2 linked regions of the Danio rerio genome follow. The protein of the gene in region 1 interacts with the protein of each later gene in a pairwise test. Links are inferred from orthologs where the notes say so. Each region holds a gene or a part of one and is shown on either strand. Other genes may lie near its edges.

Evidence for each region.
Region 2: the proteins of stat3 (region 1) and blk interact in binary tests that used the Homo sapiens proteins (3 or more experiments, as listed by UniProt). The link is inferred for Danio rerio from reciprocal best matches to the Homo sapiens genes STAT3 and BLK.

Annotation. Positions count from the first base shown.
Region 1 is NC_133178.1:15,777,451-15,784,260, reverse strand, and holds the end of stat3 (signal transducer and activator of transcription 3), read right to left. Parts: intron 5,514-6,810; coding exon 5,413-5,513; intron 2,760-5,412; coding exon 2,653-2,759; 3' UTR 2,213-2,652; downstream 1-2,212. UniProt on the Homo sapiens protein: Signal transducer and transcription activator that mediates cellular responses to interleukins, KITLG/SCF, LEP and other growth factors. Once activated, recruits coactivators, such as NCOA1 or MED1, to the promoter region of the target gene.
Region 2 is NC_133195.1:21,635,922-21,644,077, forward strand, and holds part of blk (tyrosine-protein kinase Blk), read left to right. Parts: 5' UTR 1-2; intron 3-652; 5' UTR 653-717; exon of another isoform or gene 718-754; coding exon of another isoform or gene 755-802; coding exon 803-880; intron 881-1,277; coding exon 1,278-1,314; intron 1,315-1,832; coding exon 1,833-1,926; intron 1,927-2,805; coding exon 2,806-2,904; intron 2,905-3,129; coding exon 3,130-3,233; intron 3,234-5,901; coding exon 5,902-6,051; intron 6,052-8,156. UniProt on the Homo sapiens protein: Non-receptor tyrosine kinase involved in B-lymphocyte development, differentiation and signaling. B-cell receptor (BCR) signaling requires a tight regulation of several protein tyrosine kinases and phosphatases, and associated coreceptors.

The DNA of each region.
Region 1 (6,810 bases):
GAATTACCTTGCAATCCAAATATGGGCGACACTGTAATATGGCGAAAAATTCAGCGCAAGATATATATTCAGACATTTATCTTCCTCCATGGGCTTCCCTAAGACATATAATAAAAGAGTAAAACATTTTTAGCGACATTAAAATACAGTATATTCATGTAAAACCGAAGCTATCATAGACGTGCATGCATAAAAAGTCACTTTACAACTTATGATCTGACCGTTTAATGATGCTTGAGTGCCCAATCAAGATCTGAATCCAGTTTTAGGTTCAATATGATGAAAGATCATGCCGATTATCTGTATTCCTGTAAAGTTTACTCATTTCAAAAGATCAAAACACCGTCTCTATATGCCAACAGCTCGGAATATGCTTCATGTCTGCGAACACACTGGACATTCATTGCAATACAAATGACTGGCTTTTTTCCTATTCCTAAAAAATAGATGTGGCAACAATACAGTCATGGCCAAAAGTTTGCAGTTTAAACATGTTGAAAGCTCTTTCAAAGTTTAAAACCATTCAAATCAACATGTAATAAAAAAATAAAACATTTAAATATTTTTTCCTGCTTAATTTTGGTCTCGATTTTAGTCCAAATATATAAAAAAAATCTTAAATCAAGTAGTATTTTTTGACAAATAAAAAATATTGTTTTGCTTTTAGGTATAATGAGTAAAAATTCTTATATTTTTTGCAAAATAATCTGCCAATGGGTTAAGTAAGATACTAATTTGAAATCAAAAACATTTTACTCACCCTAATGGCAGATTATTTTGCTTGTTTGACAGAAAAATCTAACTTAATTTCGACTAAATATTTTTGAAAACATACAAAATTTCTTACTTGTCTAGAAGATGCTTCTTGTTTTAAAGGGCACCTATGATGAAAAAGAACTTTTGGAAGCTGTTTGGACAGAACTGTGTTTAGATATAGTGTGTCCACTGCCATATTGGAGTTCTGTAGACCCAAGAAGTCTGTTTTTTTAATATTTCCTGATGTTAAAATAGGACCCAAATCCTAGTGATTGTGAGGCCCACCACATTGTCAAGTAGAAATGCAGTTTTCCCCACCCACTGAATTGATTGACAGGCACCATGTTTCTATAATAACTGTCAATTTTTTGCAAAGAAACTGGGACTGAATTATCTGTTACAATTCTCTGTGATTTGTATAAGTTTTATCAGTTTAAAACATTTTTAAAACAGAGCATGTTTGTAATAATTATTTTTAAAATGTTTAGGGTTAATAAAGACAGTGGAGATTAACAGACAGGAAAGTATGGGGAGCAGAGAAGGGGGAAGCATCGGCCAGGAATTGTACTCGGCATATATATGTGTGTACTGCAAACGGCATTTGTGTGAGACTCATCATTTCAGAAAGGCTTAAATAAACTCCTCCACAAATACATGTAATAAACTTACTTGGTATTTTTGACTAATGGAGCTGTATTTCAGCTTTATCAGTGTCTGTCTCTATCACTGATGTCTGTTTAGCTGACGTACTGCATGATGAGAAGCTGTTACGACTAAAGTATTTGTTTATTTTTTGTTGCGCATTGCATGTGTCTTGCATGTGTTCCGCATTTTCTGTTGTTTTCTGTTATTCCATAGAATCCCATTCTAATGTGATCCAAGCTCTGATTGACTGCTGGTCGCAGAGGCCTATTAAAAGGAACTTACGGAAGGGTTCGGGGAGCTCATTTGTGGTGCAAGGGTTGCTGGGAGTGGAGAGCTTCTGGATTTTCCCTACCTCTCCGGCAGACGACCAACCTTTAGTCTTGTACAACTGTTCATGCTTGCAACGTTTTGAGAGTTTGAGCTTGTAGAGGTGGCCTGCCTATTTATTTGATTACTTTTGACTGTTTATATTTAAGGAGGAAGGTAAGCTTCTTGTATTTTTCTTTAAATATACATAAGTAATTTAGTTCATTTACTTTGTCTTTTGTTTGTTATTTTGGCCTATTTTTCTATAATAAATCTATCAACCACTCTCATCTGAATGTCCGAGGGGGATCTTTTGCATCAAGTTTTTTGTTTTGTTTGGGAAATCCACCACCCACAACACTTTTTCCCCCGTTTATTAAGCCCATGTTGTTTTCCCCTAGTCTTGGGGTGTAATAGAAGCAGACACGCATGTGGAAACGGTGGGTGGGGAGAAGTAGATTATTTGCATTTAAAGACATGCTACAGAAACAGCTACACTGTATTCAGACACCGAAATGTGCAGATTCTGGTTACTATAATAAATAATCTGATGAGTATTTTGAGCTGAAACTTTACAGACACATTCTAGAGACACCAAAAGATTATTACATCCTGTAAAAGGGGTAAAATAGGTGCCCTTTAAGATTTTGTAGATATTTGGACTAGAAACAAGACAAAAACTTTAAACAAGAAAAGCATTTTTTACAGTGTAACCATTATTATTTTTTTTTTTTTAATTTTAAAGTCAACTTCAGTATTGTCGAGGTTGAAATGAAAACTTTAGCTTGTTTGCACTTTTGACTGACTGTAAAATCAAAAAAAGAAATGCAAAATTTGGCTCGGAGAGAGAAAGCAGTTGTAGCACCTAAGCTCACTATATACATGAAAATTGCTTTTCCCAATGGAAAAAAAAAAAAAAAAAAATGAAACTAAAATCTTGGAAAACTAAGCATTTCGGCAGGTGTCCATATCCGAGACTGTGGAGGCTGCAAACCCTTCTCTCATGGGTGACGCATGATCAGAGCTCAACTCCATGTCCAGAGTGAGGGATTCTGGGGAAACATGGCAACACACAGTATTATAAGAAGGTGGGTTGGCTGTAATAAGTTACTTTCATTAAATTACTTATCCTCAAAAAAAAAAAGTAAGGGATTTTTTTTGTTTTTTGTTTTTCAGCCAATGATAAACTTCCTGTGAAAGGTTAATTTATTTATATATTATTTATTTCTTGCCACATCAGCAACTTATGGCTATTTCGTGGCAAAATGGATGTACATAAAATATTAAATGATAAAAACAAATTCATATTACAAAAAAAAAGTTACATAGACAAATATATAAAATATTAATAGATAAAATGGCACACATTTCTTTTTCAAAGTTAAATATGATATTTCAGTTCAATTTTTGATAAATAATTTAAAACTCTTCCGGGTGGTACCTTTTTAAAGATGTCCATCAAAATACCCTCCTTATAAAAATTTTGTCAAATGGATTTTAAACTTCTACATTCCAACAAAATCTGTTTTATGGTAAGAGCAGCCTGGCAGTACATTACATTTAGGTGATTCTTCGTTATTCAGCAAACCTAAAATGTCCGATTCGACATCTGGTATAGACCGTTTGATCATGTCTGGTCTCAAAACTATAATTTGCTAAATGCCTTTTGTTTATTTACGGGTTAATTTCATGTAATTTATTTTTTATGCAGTTGTCCCATTCTCTTTGCCATATTTCGTTTATGTACAAATTGATTGTGGGTTACAAACAAGGGTAAAAGGTTAATGTGACTATTTTCAATTTCATATGGCTTCTTTTACATCATCCATGTTGTAATGTAGTTAAAGTACATTCAGTTGAATAGACTTATTCATTTATTTAGTTGTTCAAGGGAAATCGAAATTAAAGACCAAGTAACCACTAGCAGTCAGGATCAGCAGGCGAGCGCAGAAACTCTGACAGTAGAAACACTGGGGTAAAATAAACGGCCACATTTTTAAGATGTGATGGCGGGAAATGGAATTTGACGCAGTTCTTCTTGGCCGGTGTGAGATCCACTTTATATCCTATATCTATCAGGCAGTGAATATCATTAATTTTTTAAAGAAATCAGACCTTAACATGGCAATTTTATAAATGGAAAGATTGCTGAGGCTGGCTGACTAAAATTAAAAGTCCATGTGCATATAACCCATTACAGTTACACAGAAACTTAAATTCAACAGTTCTTTATAAATTAATTTTGAAAAACAGAAATTATTGTATTGTTTTTTACTATACAAATATATTATATATAAAAACAATAGTTTTTCAAGTAAAGGTGACATTTATCAAGACAACATAACATGCTTAAGAAACAATAAAAGGAGTGATTAATTAATTCATGATAAAATAAATATTACTGTAGACTAGAACAGTGTGATTGTATTTTCCTCTTTAGATACTTTGCGGGTTAAATAATTTCATTTCTCAACTAAATGTTGGATTTGTCAGACAACTGCACATGCCTTGGAAAATAGTAATTAGAAAAGTAATTTAAATACACGTTTAATGATGTAATTATTTATTATTAATACTACTATTAGATTTCTTTTTGAGCCCACCATTCAATCATTTTACATTCTTCTGTAAATGGGAGTAAATATTTATTCTTACACATATTACATTATCGTTTTTATATTAATTAGAGCAATATCATTGACAAATAAGCAGATGTTGAGGATTTATGTACAACATAATTTGTAAACTAATGATTCCTGTTTTTAGTGGATGTATTATATGAGAGATTTACTGTAGCTTGGTTTATTAAACAAGTGATTCTAATTGTATTTGCACTGTAAACCTTATATTTTATTATTGTTATTGCAAGTTATTGTATCATGATGGTTTGTTCTGTAGACTATTGAAAAACATTTAGCTTAAAAGGGCTAATAATTTTGACTCTATTGCTTTTTAAAAAAAAAATCAAAACTGCTTTTATTCTAGCTGAAATAAAACTTTCCCCAAAAGGAAAAATATTATCAGACATACTGTAAAAATTTCTTTGCTCTGTTAAACATTATTTGGGAAATATTTAAAAAAGAAAAAAAAAAATCAAAGAGGGGCTAATAATTGTGACTTCAACTGTATGTGTATATAACACACGGTAAATATAAATATATATATATATATATATATATATATATATATATATATATATATATATATGAGCAATATCACACGAGTAGCAGTGCGATATGGCTGTATATCGGCACTGGTGGGAAGCGTGCGTTGCCTTATCGCACTGCTACGAGTTTGACAGCATAATTGTGTATATAAAAACAAAATCAAACTTGGAGAGTCTCAAAAACTCTTGTGTATGAGGAACTACTTTCTTCCGGATTCAAATCATAAGCTGACAGTTAAACAGTTGAGTGTGCATCTTTTAAACTTTAGATCTGTAGTGTCTGCTTTTTGCTGGCTGTATGTGGGCGGAGTAATACACAAAGGGTTAAAGAGGCTGTAGGAGTTCTGATATTGCAGAATATTGCATGGCTATCAGCCAATCAGATTTGAGAACCAGACAGAACTGTTGTATATATATATATGTATATATATAATGCACACATATCTTATGTCGAACAAACTTTTATTTTGTATTCGACTATTTATAAATATGTATCTTTTTTCATAAACATGATAAGCTGTTGAAACGTCATGACTCACCGAGAGGTCCTGGATTGGCCTCAGCAGCTTCGTTGTGCATGAGAGAGTCGAGCGTGCGAGGCGACATTGGGAACAAATCGCTTGTGTTGCCAGAGTTAGTCCTGCAAAAGAAAGACATTGACATTAGACATGATGACAAACGAAACGCAAACAGATGTGTTGATTTAGTAAGAAATCTTTCACAGCATGAGTCGGCCTCCGTCCTAGTTTACATATGTGTCAGAAACACCTACTAAAACTCACACAAACCCACACTTAGAGTCGCACACATGGACACCACTTGCTTAATACTGAAAGTTCACCCAAAAATGAAACTTCTGTCATCGTGTACACTCCCCTCATATCCTGCATGACTTTCTTTTTTCAGTGGAAAATCAGATATTTTGAGAAATGTCAGCAATGTGGAAGGGGTTCAGTCATACAGGTTTCAACAATCTTATAGATAGGCAAATTAAGTTCATTTTGGGGTAAACTAACCCTTTAACAGATTGTTATCATGAATGTTAGAGGATGTTAAAGTGGCAGATTAAACATCAACAGCATTGTCATTTGAAAAGAAACATGCTTTTCATTAGTTTAATTATTATTTACATTTATTAATTGACTGAATTTATAGAAAAGGTTAGAAAGTGCCAATGAAATTTAAATACAGGCGTATTTCTGGCATTTTGCAGATTTGGCATCCACCACTGTTCATTTTTAATAATCACAGGCAAACCTGCTTGGCCTGTTTGGATTTGGTTCATGAAGACATCCTGTTTGATTTTTAATATAAAGCATTTGTATTGAAGTTTGGTTCATTGATGAGCTTGTGTGCTCATAGATTTATGAGCTTGATGCTCTTTAGTGTTTCAATTGAAATTTTGGTTTTCAACATTTCTACTAGCAGGACCTGGCAAAAAATGATTCTAGAAAGCTTTTGGATAAAAAAAGCATTTGGATTCATTTTGGTTACTTTATGAGATTGCTCTTGTTTTATTTTTAAAATTCTTCTAGTGGGACCCGGCAACATAGTTAAAAATAATCTAAAAAAAAAACAACAACAAAAAAATTAACCAAGCTGATTTTCAATTAAAATTTTGGTTTTCAATATTTCTTCTAGCAGAATCTGACAAATAAGAATCTAGAAAGTTTTTGGAATAAAAAGCATTTGGATTTATTTTGGCTCATTTTTGAGCTTGTTCTTGAACTAGTTTTTTTATTATTATTTCTTCGAGCGGGACCTGGCCACATAATTGATCTAACATAAAATTCATTCATTCATTTTCTTTTTAGCTTAGTCCTTTTATTAATTTGGGGTCGCCACAGTGGAATGAACCGCCAACTTATCCAGCATGTGTTTTACGCAGCAGATGCCCTTCCAGCTGCAACCCATCACTGGGAAACCTAACATAAAAC
Region 2 (8,156 bases), on another chromosome or scaffold:
GGGTAAGAAGTCACATTTTATTTCAAATTTTAATATGCTGGTTTGTTATTTGTGTGATCAGATTCACATTTGTGTTTGCTATAGAGCAAGTCATCTATTTGTATAAGCTATTACATTTTACAGACTAAAGCATAAGGAGACTATTCATTTTATAATTGTATGGATGACACTTCATTTATAATATGTTGGTTTATTATTTGTGATCAGATTCACATTTGTGTTTGCTATGGAGCAAGTCATCTGTTTGTACTTACTGTAAACTATTGTATTTTACAGACTGAAGTATAAAGACACTGTGTTCATTTTATAATTGTATGGATGACACTTCATATTTAAAATGTTGGTTTATTATTTATGTGATCAGATTCAGATTTCTGTTTGCTAGAGCAAGTCATCTAAACTTAGCAAACTATTGTATTTTACAAACTAAAGTATAAAGACACTGTGTTCATTTTATAATTGTATGGATGACACTTCATATTTAATATGTTGGTTTATTATTTGTGTGATGAGATTTGCATTTTCAATGACTGTCTGGTTGAGTAAATCGTTTAATTATAGTGAAATCATTAACTGTTGATGCTGTACAGTATTTATAAATAAATGTGTAACTTATGTGGATGAGCTTAAAAATCTTTTTTCTTTTGTTTAGCACCAAGAATGATGAATATCTGGACCTTTCAGCATATCTTTTGGACTTTTACTGAACTCCACAAGGTGTGATTTCCAGCATCAAATCAAATTTTATAAATAAATGTTAATTAACCCTACACAAGAAGATGATCACATTTCATTTTTAAGGATGGGTTGTGCTTGTAGTGACCAGAACCATCCAAAAGGTCATGAGCATTATAATTCAACAAACTCTAAGACATCTCACGTAAGTATTGCTGGTTTTAGTATTTAATTATAATTTTTAATTTAATTTAATTTAATTTAATTTAATTTAATTTAATTTTATTTTATTTTATTTTATTTTATTTTATTATTAATTTTTTTAAGTTTAAAAAAGCTAATAGTTTTTGTATTCTGTGTTTTCTTTCTTTTTATGTTTGTAAAAATTATGTTTATGACATTAAAGTCACAGAAGCATAGTTTGTAATAACATTGTGGTATGTTGTAATGCAGTGTTACCAGTGGTGTAAAGTAACTAATTACAAATGTTATCTTAAATTATATTTAAAAATGTATTATGTCTTGTTTTTAAAAAACAAACATTTTGGTCAATAAGTTATATATATTTTATATATATTATATATTATTCTTGTTATTTACAGGCGTCAAGAGATCACAAGAAGCAAAACAACAACCAAGGTAATGCATATGTTTTATTTCAGTTATCGAATTTGGCATTAGTGAAGAGTATCTGTTTATTGCAACTTATTTAGTAATATTTGAATAGTCATTATGGTTTTTGGCCTAATCACTGTGTTTCTACTGAAAATGTTAAAATCTTTTCTAAAAAAGAAAGGAAAAGGAAACTTTTATAATGCTATGGTCACATCATTAAACATATTGCATTGTCTAAAATAAAGACAATAATATACATCACAAATGCAAGGAAAAGCAGACAAAACATGTCCCAAAAATAATTAAGCTTTTGATCAAAATGAAATGTAAAAATGAGTTGTATTGGCGCTATTAGTTATCAGTTGGTTATTATGTATTAGAGTATTTTGATTAAAATAGGTAAATGTTTAAAATAGAGGTAATTAAATTCACTTTTCATAAGAGAAAATGTTATTTCTTAACCCTGGTTTACATGATGAGATGTTGCAGATGTAAGATTATTTGAAAGGAATTTTTTAACAAATTTAACTTTTTTTTTTCAGATGAAGATGTTGTTATTGCACAATATGACTTCCAGCCTGCTAGTGAAAATGATCTTCAATTCAAAAAAGGGGACAGACTCAGGATTATTAAGGAGTGAGTAAACAACTTGCTAAATATGAATATAGACTATAACTAAAATACAGCACAAATTCTAACATGTTATAATATAACAAGAAGTTGTGAAGTATTGGGTATTTATTTGTACAAGAATCCAAAGCTTAAGTTAGAACTTATTAACTTTATGACGCTCAATTTAAGCAAATGTACAAATGGTATCTATAAGGGAACAGAATAGATAAAAGTGGATGAAAAGATAAGAGATTAAATAATTTGATAATCAAATTATGGGGTATTTGGGGCAACAAAGAATAATGAATAATATTAAACTTGTGCATTTCTTAATGATTGAAATTTGTTTTATACAGATATTCAGATGTTCTGTTCATAATGATAACATTTGTTAGTGTTTGAATAATTGTTTTAAAGGTTTTATTATTTTGTTCGAAATAAATCAATCAAATCTAATTAAATTTGAATCTGTGTTCCAAAAGTACCCAACCTGATGTCACAAGGCAATGTAACTCGTCAGAACAGAAGGGAACTCATACAAATTCATACAATTCCGTTTGTATAAAAAATTTATGATATTTGTGCCCCCAAACTCCCCCTTTACCCTACCCCTCTTTGGGACATGAACAAGTTATACTAAAATGTATGAATAAGATCTGACGAATTCATTTGAATTAGTTGCTAAATCAAAACATTATGAATTGCTGAGAGATGGCGCTAAAAATACCCTCAAAAATGTTTTTTAAAAAGTGTTAATATTGCTGTTATGCTTCATTTAAACTCACTCCAGATTTGCTTTAAATGTTTCAATTCCAAAGTCATGTAAATTAGTACAAACTTCAATCTCACAGTAAAAAGAAAAAGCTAAATCTGATATGTCTTGGTTGTTTTTTGTTTGTTTAGAAATGGAGAATGGTGGTTGGCGAAGTCCTTGGTCACAGGTTATGAGGGATTTATTCCATCTACGTATGTGGCAAGAGCGCAAACGCTACAGGTGGAGCGGTAAGAGCAAATATGATCAATAAATGTTTTTTTTTTTTTTTTTTTCTCACGATAAATAGTGTTTGCTGCTTTTTGCTGTATTTCAGCTGTGGACTCCAAATGTTGCTCTGCTGTTTTACTGTGCTTAATAATATCAGCATCTTTGGAATGTCCCTTGTCTGTTGTATAATTTGCTGACTTACTTGGAGAAGAATGATATTATTAAGGTTCCTGTTTTTGTTCCAGATGGTTTTTTAAGGACATGAATCGTAGAGATACAGAGCGTCTTCTGCTAGCACCAGGAAATAAACCTGGTTCCTTTCTTGTGAGAGAAAGTGAAACAACCAAAGGTCAGACATTTCCACATTATCACTTATTGTGTTGTACTGTATGTCAGTGGTTCACTGGTTAGGATCAATGACTTATTTATTAATTTGTTGCTGCAGTTTATTACAATAACATTGTAATATAGTGCTTATTGCACGCAGTTGTTTAAGGGCTTTTGCCTTTAATTAATTATTTAGCAATATTAAAAAGAAATACAAGTGTCAAGTTGTAGAACTTAAGGATACAAAAATAGGCTAAAGCCGAGGTGTTTCTGTTGCTTGTAGTTTTATTTTATATACCATTTGGACTAAGAAGAGAGGATTTATTTGGTTTATTCATTTGATTAATTTTGTGAGAGGACTGGACTCTTGAAGGCTTTGATTTTGTTACTGTCTGTAAGATTTTGTGAGGCATTGTGTCATGAATTAGGACTCCTGGCTGCAAAATAAGTCTAATAAAGTAACCAATATTACCTAACTGATACTAAAGAAATCATATAGTACTGTCGATCTGTGTAAACATTTTAGAAACCACTTAAAAACTTTATATCGATTTAGTATTTTTTATGTTTGAGGTTTTAGTTTGCAAGTAATAATAATTGTTATTCTGTGATATTTTCTCCAAATTTAAAATAAAACAATTTTTTACACTTTTACAAATTGAGCATTTTTGGTGCAGAAGATAACAAAAAAGTGTCACGTTTTAGAACATGCTGGTATTCAGTTTTAGAAATCAATATTTGGTCAAAAAACCCACTGTAAAAAAATTGTTGAATCAGCTCAAAATTGTAAGGCAACTTCCTGCAGAGCTTTTTTGAGATGATTCAGTTTTCAACCCAAATTTTGCACTTGACTCTAATAAAGTTAAGTCAACTCAAAAAGCTCTGTAGCAAGTTGCCTTAAAATTTTAAGTTGAGTGAACCTTTTTTTACAGTGCAGATGTTTGTCATAGTAAATATAAACGAATTGAAAAAATCTGACAATTTTTTTTTAGGGAAAATGCTACAAATATCAATACTGTAATGTGTGATTTGAAAGAAATGTTATCAAACCTTTATAAAATAAACCAACAGACCCTTTTCACATTTCCGGATTGCTCAGTAGCGGAAGGCAACATCGCTGGGTAAACTGAGTGAATGGGAGAGTACAACAAATAATTTTTTTACAACTCTATTTGCTGTAACAATAAAAAAAAAAACTTCTCGATGGTGTTATCAAGACTTTTAGAAAAAGGAAAAAAAATTGTGTGAGACTGATGACGGCAGCCAGAGGAGAGAATAACGTCAAATTTACTCTCAGCACTATAAACGCTGCATTAGAAACACCTCACATAAGCTTTAACTAAAAACATTGATCAAATTTAACATTTTATCAAACATTAGAAACTTTCAAGGATTTAAGATCATGATGACCATTAAACACGTTATAACAGTCTTGTGAAAAGGGTCCATATGAATATTTTACTTAAACCAATATCAAATAAATCCATATCCTCTAAATCCAGAGAAGCAGAACTTTTAATTTTTTTTTCATTAGTGTACACTATTCTATCACTGTAAATGAGTGTTTTACATCAGACCATTCAAACTAAATGAATATCTGAAGGAACTCCTAATATTCAGCGTTCAGAATGTTACTTTTATTTGACTCTGCTCAAATTCTTTGTTGATAAAGGATGCATTTTTCAAAGTTTACGGTCTGATCTGCTGATCTTCAGTTCACATCATGCAGAGCGCTGAAAGAGCAAATAAATGTCAAACTATGTACTGAGATTTGCTTGTGTTTTTGCTCAGAGCATAAGTAGAGATAAAAATAGCTTTTCTAACTTTTTTCTAAGCTTTTCTGTTTGTCTGATTTTAGAGCCAGGGGAGGTGCAGAAACTAGACGTAACTGGAATTTATAATTTTTTTTATGCAGATTATTATTATTTTTCATTTTAGTAAACCTTGAAATAACTAATATTGTTTGATTTTATGCATAAAGTATCAAAACCTGATAAATAAATTTGTATGCGTAATATTTATATCTTGTTTATAATGTTATTTATATATATATATATATATATATATATATATATATATATATATATTTTTTTTTTTTTAGTTTTTATACAGTTATATTGTCATTATTTCATTATCATTATTTTATTTTTTCATTATATCATCAGTTTTATATTACTACACTGTAAAAAAATATGACAAAAAGTCATGAAAACAAATGCCTTTATGTTACTTTGCCTTTAATTTAAAAAGTTTCTTAATTTTTAGTTTCTTTCTTTAATTTTTAATAACCAGTTTCTTTTTTGTTGTACAAAATTTACTGTTGTATTTTTAGTCAGTTTGAATGATTTGAGATGAAGTTCATTTGATTCTGAAAAATTTAAGGCAGGGAGAATTTTATTTACAGCATACCTTAAGGGAGGTTTACACTTACAAAACCCCACTAAACAGCTTGTGACCAGTTTATCGAAGAATTTATCACACTATACAAGGTGCATTAATCAACATCAGCTATTTTAGTTACATCTAAACCCACCAATGATCTGTTTATGAAACTCTTTTATGATTATTTTTAGTTTTCATTCCAGTGGTGCCTGTCAGATTGAATTCACTTGAGCATCTATTAATCACATATTTGTCTGAATCTGAAGCTGGTCTTTATTTAACTCATGTTTGTGAATGCTCCTTCACAGGTGCGTTCTCTCTGTCCATCAGAGACTCCACTCCAGAGCAGGGTGATGTGGTCAAGCACTATAAGATTCGAGCCCTGGATAATGGCGGATATTACATCTCCCCGTCCACAAGCTTTTCTTCTCTTCAAGAGCTGGTGAAGTATTACTCTAGTAAGTGCTCAGAGCTGCAGCAAAGGCTTTTTCTGTTTCCTCTACTGTGTAGTTTCTGTGGTGGAAGCAGCAAAGAACAGGATAAACACTTGCTTTAACCACTAGATAAATAGGTCAGAGCTCATAGACTGCACCATCGCCACCGTTTTGGTTTGTTGTGTCTTTTTATAGAACTGTGTACGAGTCATTTTTCTACGTTTTGGTTTGGGGATGTATTATAAAGCCAGTAAACATAGTTTCATTTCAGTGAACCAGGGCCGGCCCAAGCCTTCAGGGGGCCCTAAGCAGGATTTTATTTGGGGCCCCCTTGGTGCAAACAATATGGCAAATTATCGTAAATCCTTGATAATTCGCACACTATAAATTTAAAACACACATTATCGATTTTATTCGCTGTAGCTGTGTTGCTTACATCATAAAATATATGTTTTAAGACAATTCTAAATATTATTCTGCAGAAACAACTTCCTATTGATCCAACTTTTTATGTTACTACTTGCCCAAATCTAAATAATTGACACAAAACATTAATATGGGCTGGCAGAAACAAAAGCAGCTGGAAGTAGCCAATAAAATACTTTTTTTTTTATTATTCAGGCACAAGACGCTGTCAAACATAGTGACAATAAAGATACATTTATTTTTTATTGAATATAAATGTTAACACTGAAAAAAAATCATATTGTATTTTGTAGTTCAAATAACTTAAAACATCTATTTAAACTAAAATCAAAGTAAATCAGGAAGCATTTTCTAGACATACTCGCATATTAGTCAAATTACTAAATATGTACAAAAATTGTTCAGTTTTCAGAAACAAATTCTAAATTAAGTGATTTTTTTTTTTTTTTGTAAAACAAATTAATCTGCCAATGAGATAAGTAAAATAATCTTATTTAAAACCTAAAACAATATTCTTTATTTACCCTAATTGGCAGATTATTGAGCTTTTTTAATGAAAAATTCACATAATTTTGACTAAAAATCTGTCTAGAAAATGTGTATTGGTTTAAGAATTTTTAGATATTTGGACTAAAAATCACACAAAAACTATAAGAAAGAAAATCATTTTTGCAGTGTATTTACCAACTGTCAATAAATCAGAAGCTTATTTTTTATCACCAAGTTCATGAAAAAGCATTTTGCTGCTGTTCCGGGCACTGCTGCTTCAATCACGATATCAATGATTCTGAGATATATTGATAGATCACAAGAAAACCAGCCACAATATATCACAATTTTGGTAAACGAGGGGGAAAATGCATCAAAAAAAATTATGATATTCTTTTATAAACACGCATTTATAGATTTGCAACAATGTAAAACAAGTGCACATCTGTCAAACAAGCTTAAAAATGCTGATGTGCAGAGAGGAGTTTATGACTGAAGAGCATCTATCACAGCAGCAGAATCTCAATTTTGTGCAATGTGCATTTAAGAAAAAAACTGTCAAAAAAGTAATTTATTGCATTCTGTAAACTTAAAACATTACAACTTGACCAACTCATTTTATGTAAACATGGAAAATTTTTATGCTTAAACCAGGTTTATTTTTAATAAAAAAATATGTATTCCCACTATTTTTTCAACTGATCAGAATGCTCTGAGAGGTGAGCACAGACTCCTCTGAGTACGTATGTTTTCAGCAGTGGAGAACATTAGTTATTTACTTATCTGTTTAAGTTTTTTAATTCCCCTAATATTTTTTGCCAAAATACCACCCACAAGACTTTGACAAGTTCTGTAAGAGTCAAATAAACGCAAGACCCTTGTAATTATATGTTCATGTCCTATTGATATCTTTATATATTTTGGCGGAGTTAAAAAGTTTGAGCACATAAGAAGTTGCACTGGCCGCGGGCACGCGCGAGTGATATAGCGAAGTGAAAGCGCGTCTGTTAGAAACTAGTGGCGAATTCGGGGGAGCTGGATGTCTCAAACACACAAATACATTGGCCCAGCTTGGACAGAAGAAAGTGTCTGTATGCCTGAGATATTCACCATTGCAATGGCTCATCTCAGTGGTTTACATGACGCTGGTGTATGTCCGATGATCCGCCATTACGCGAAGCGCCACCTGGTGGCGGCTGGGTGTACTGTAGCTA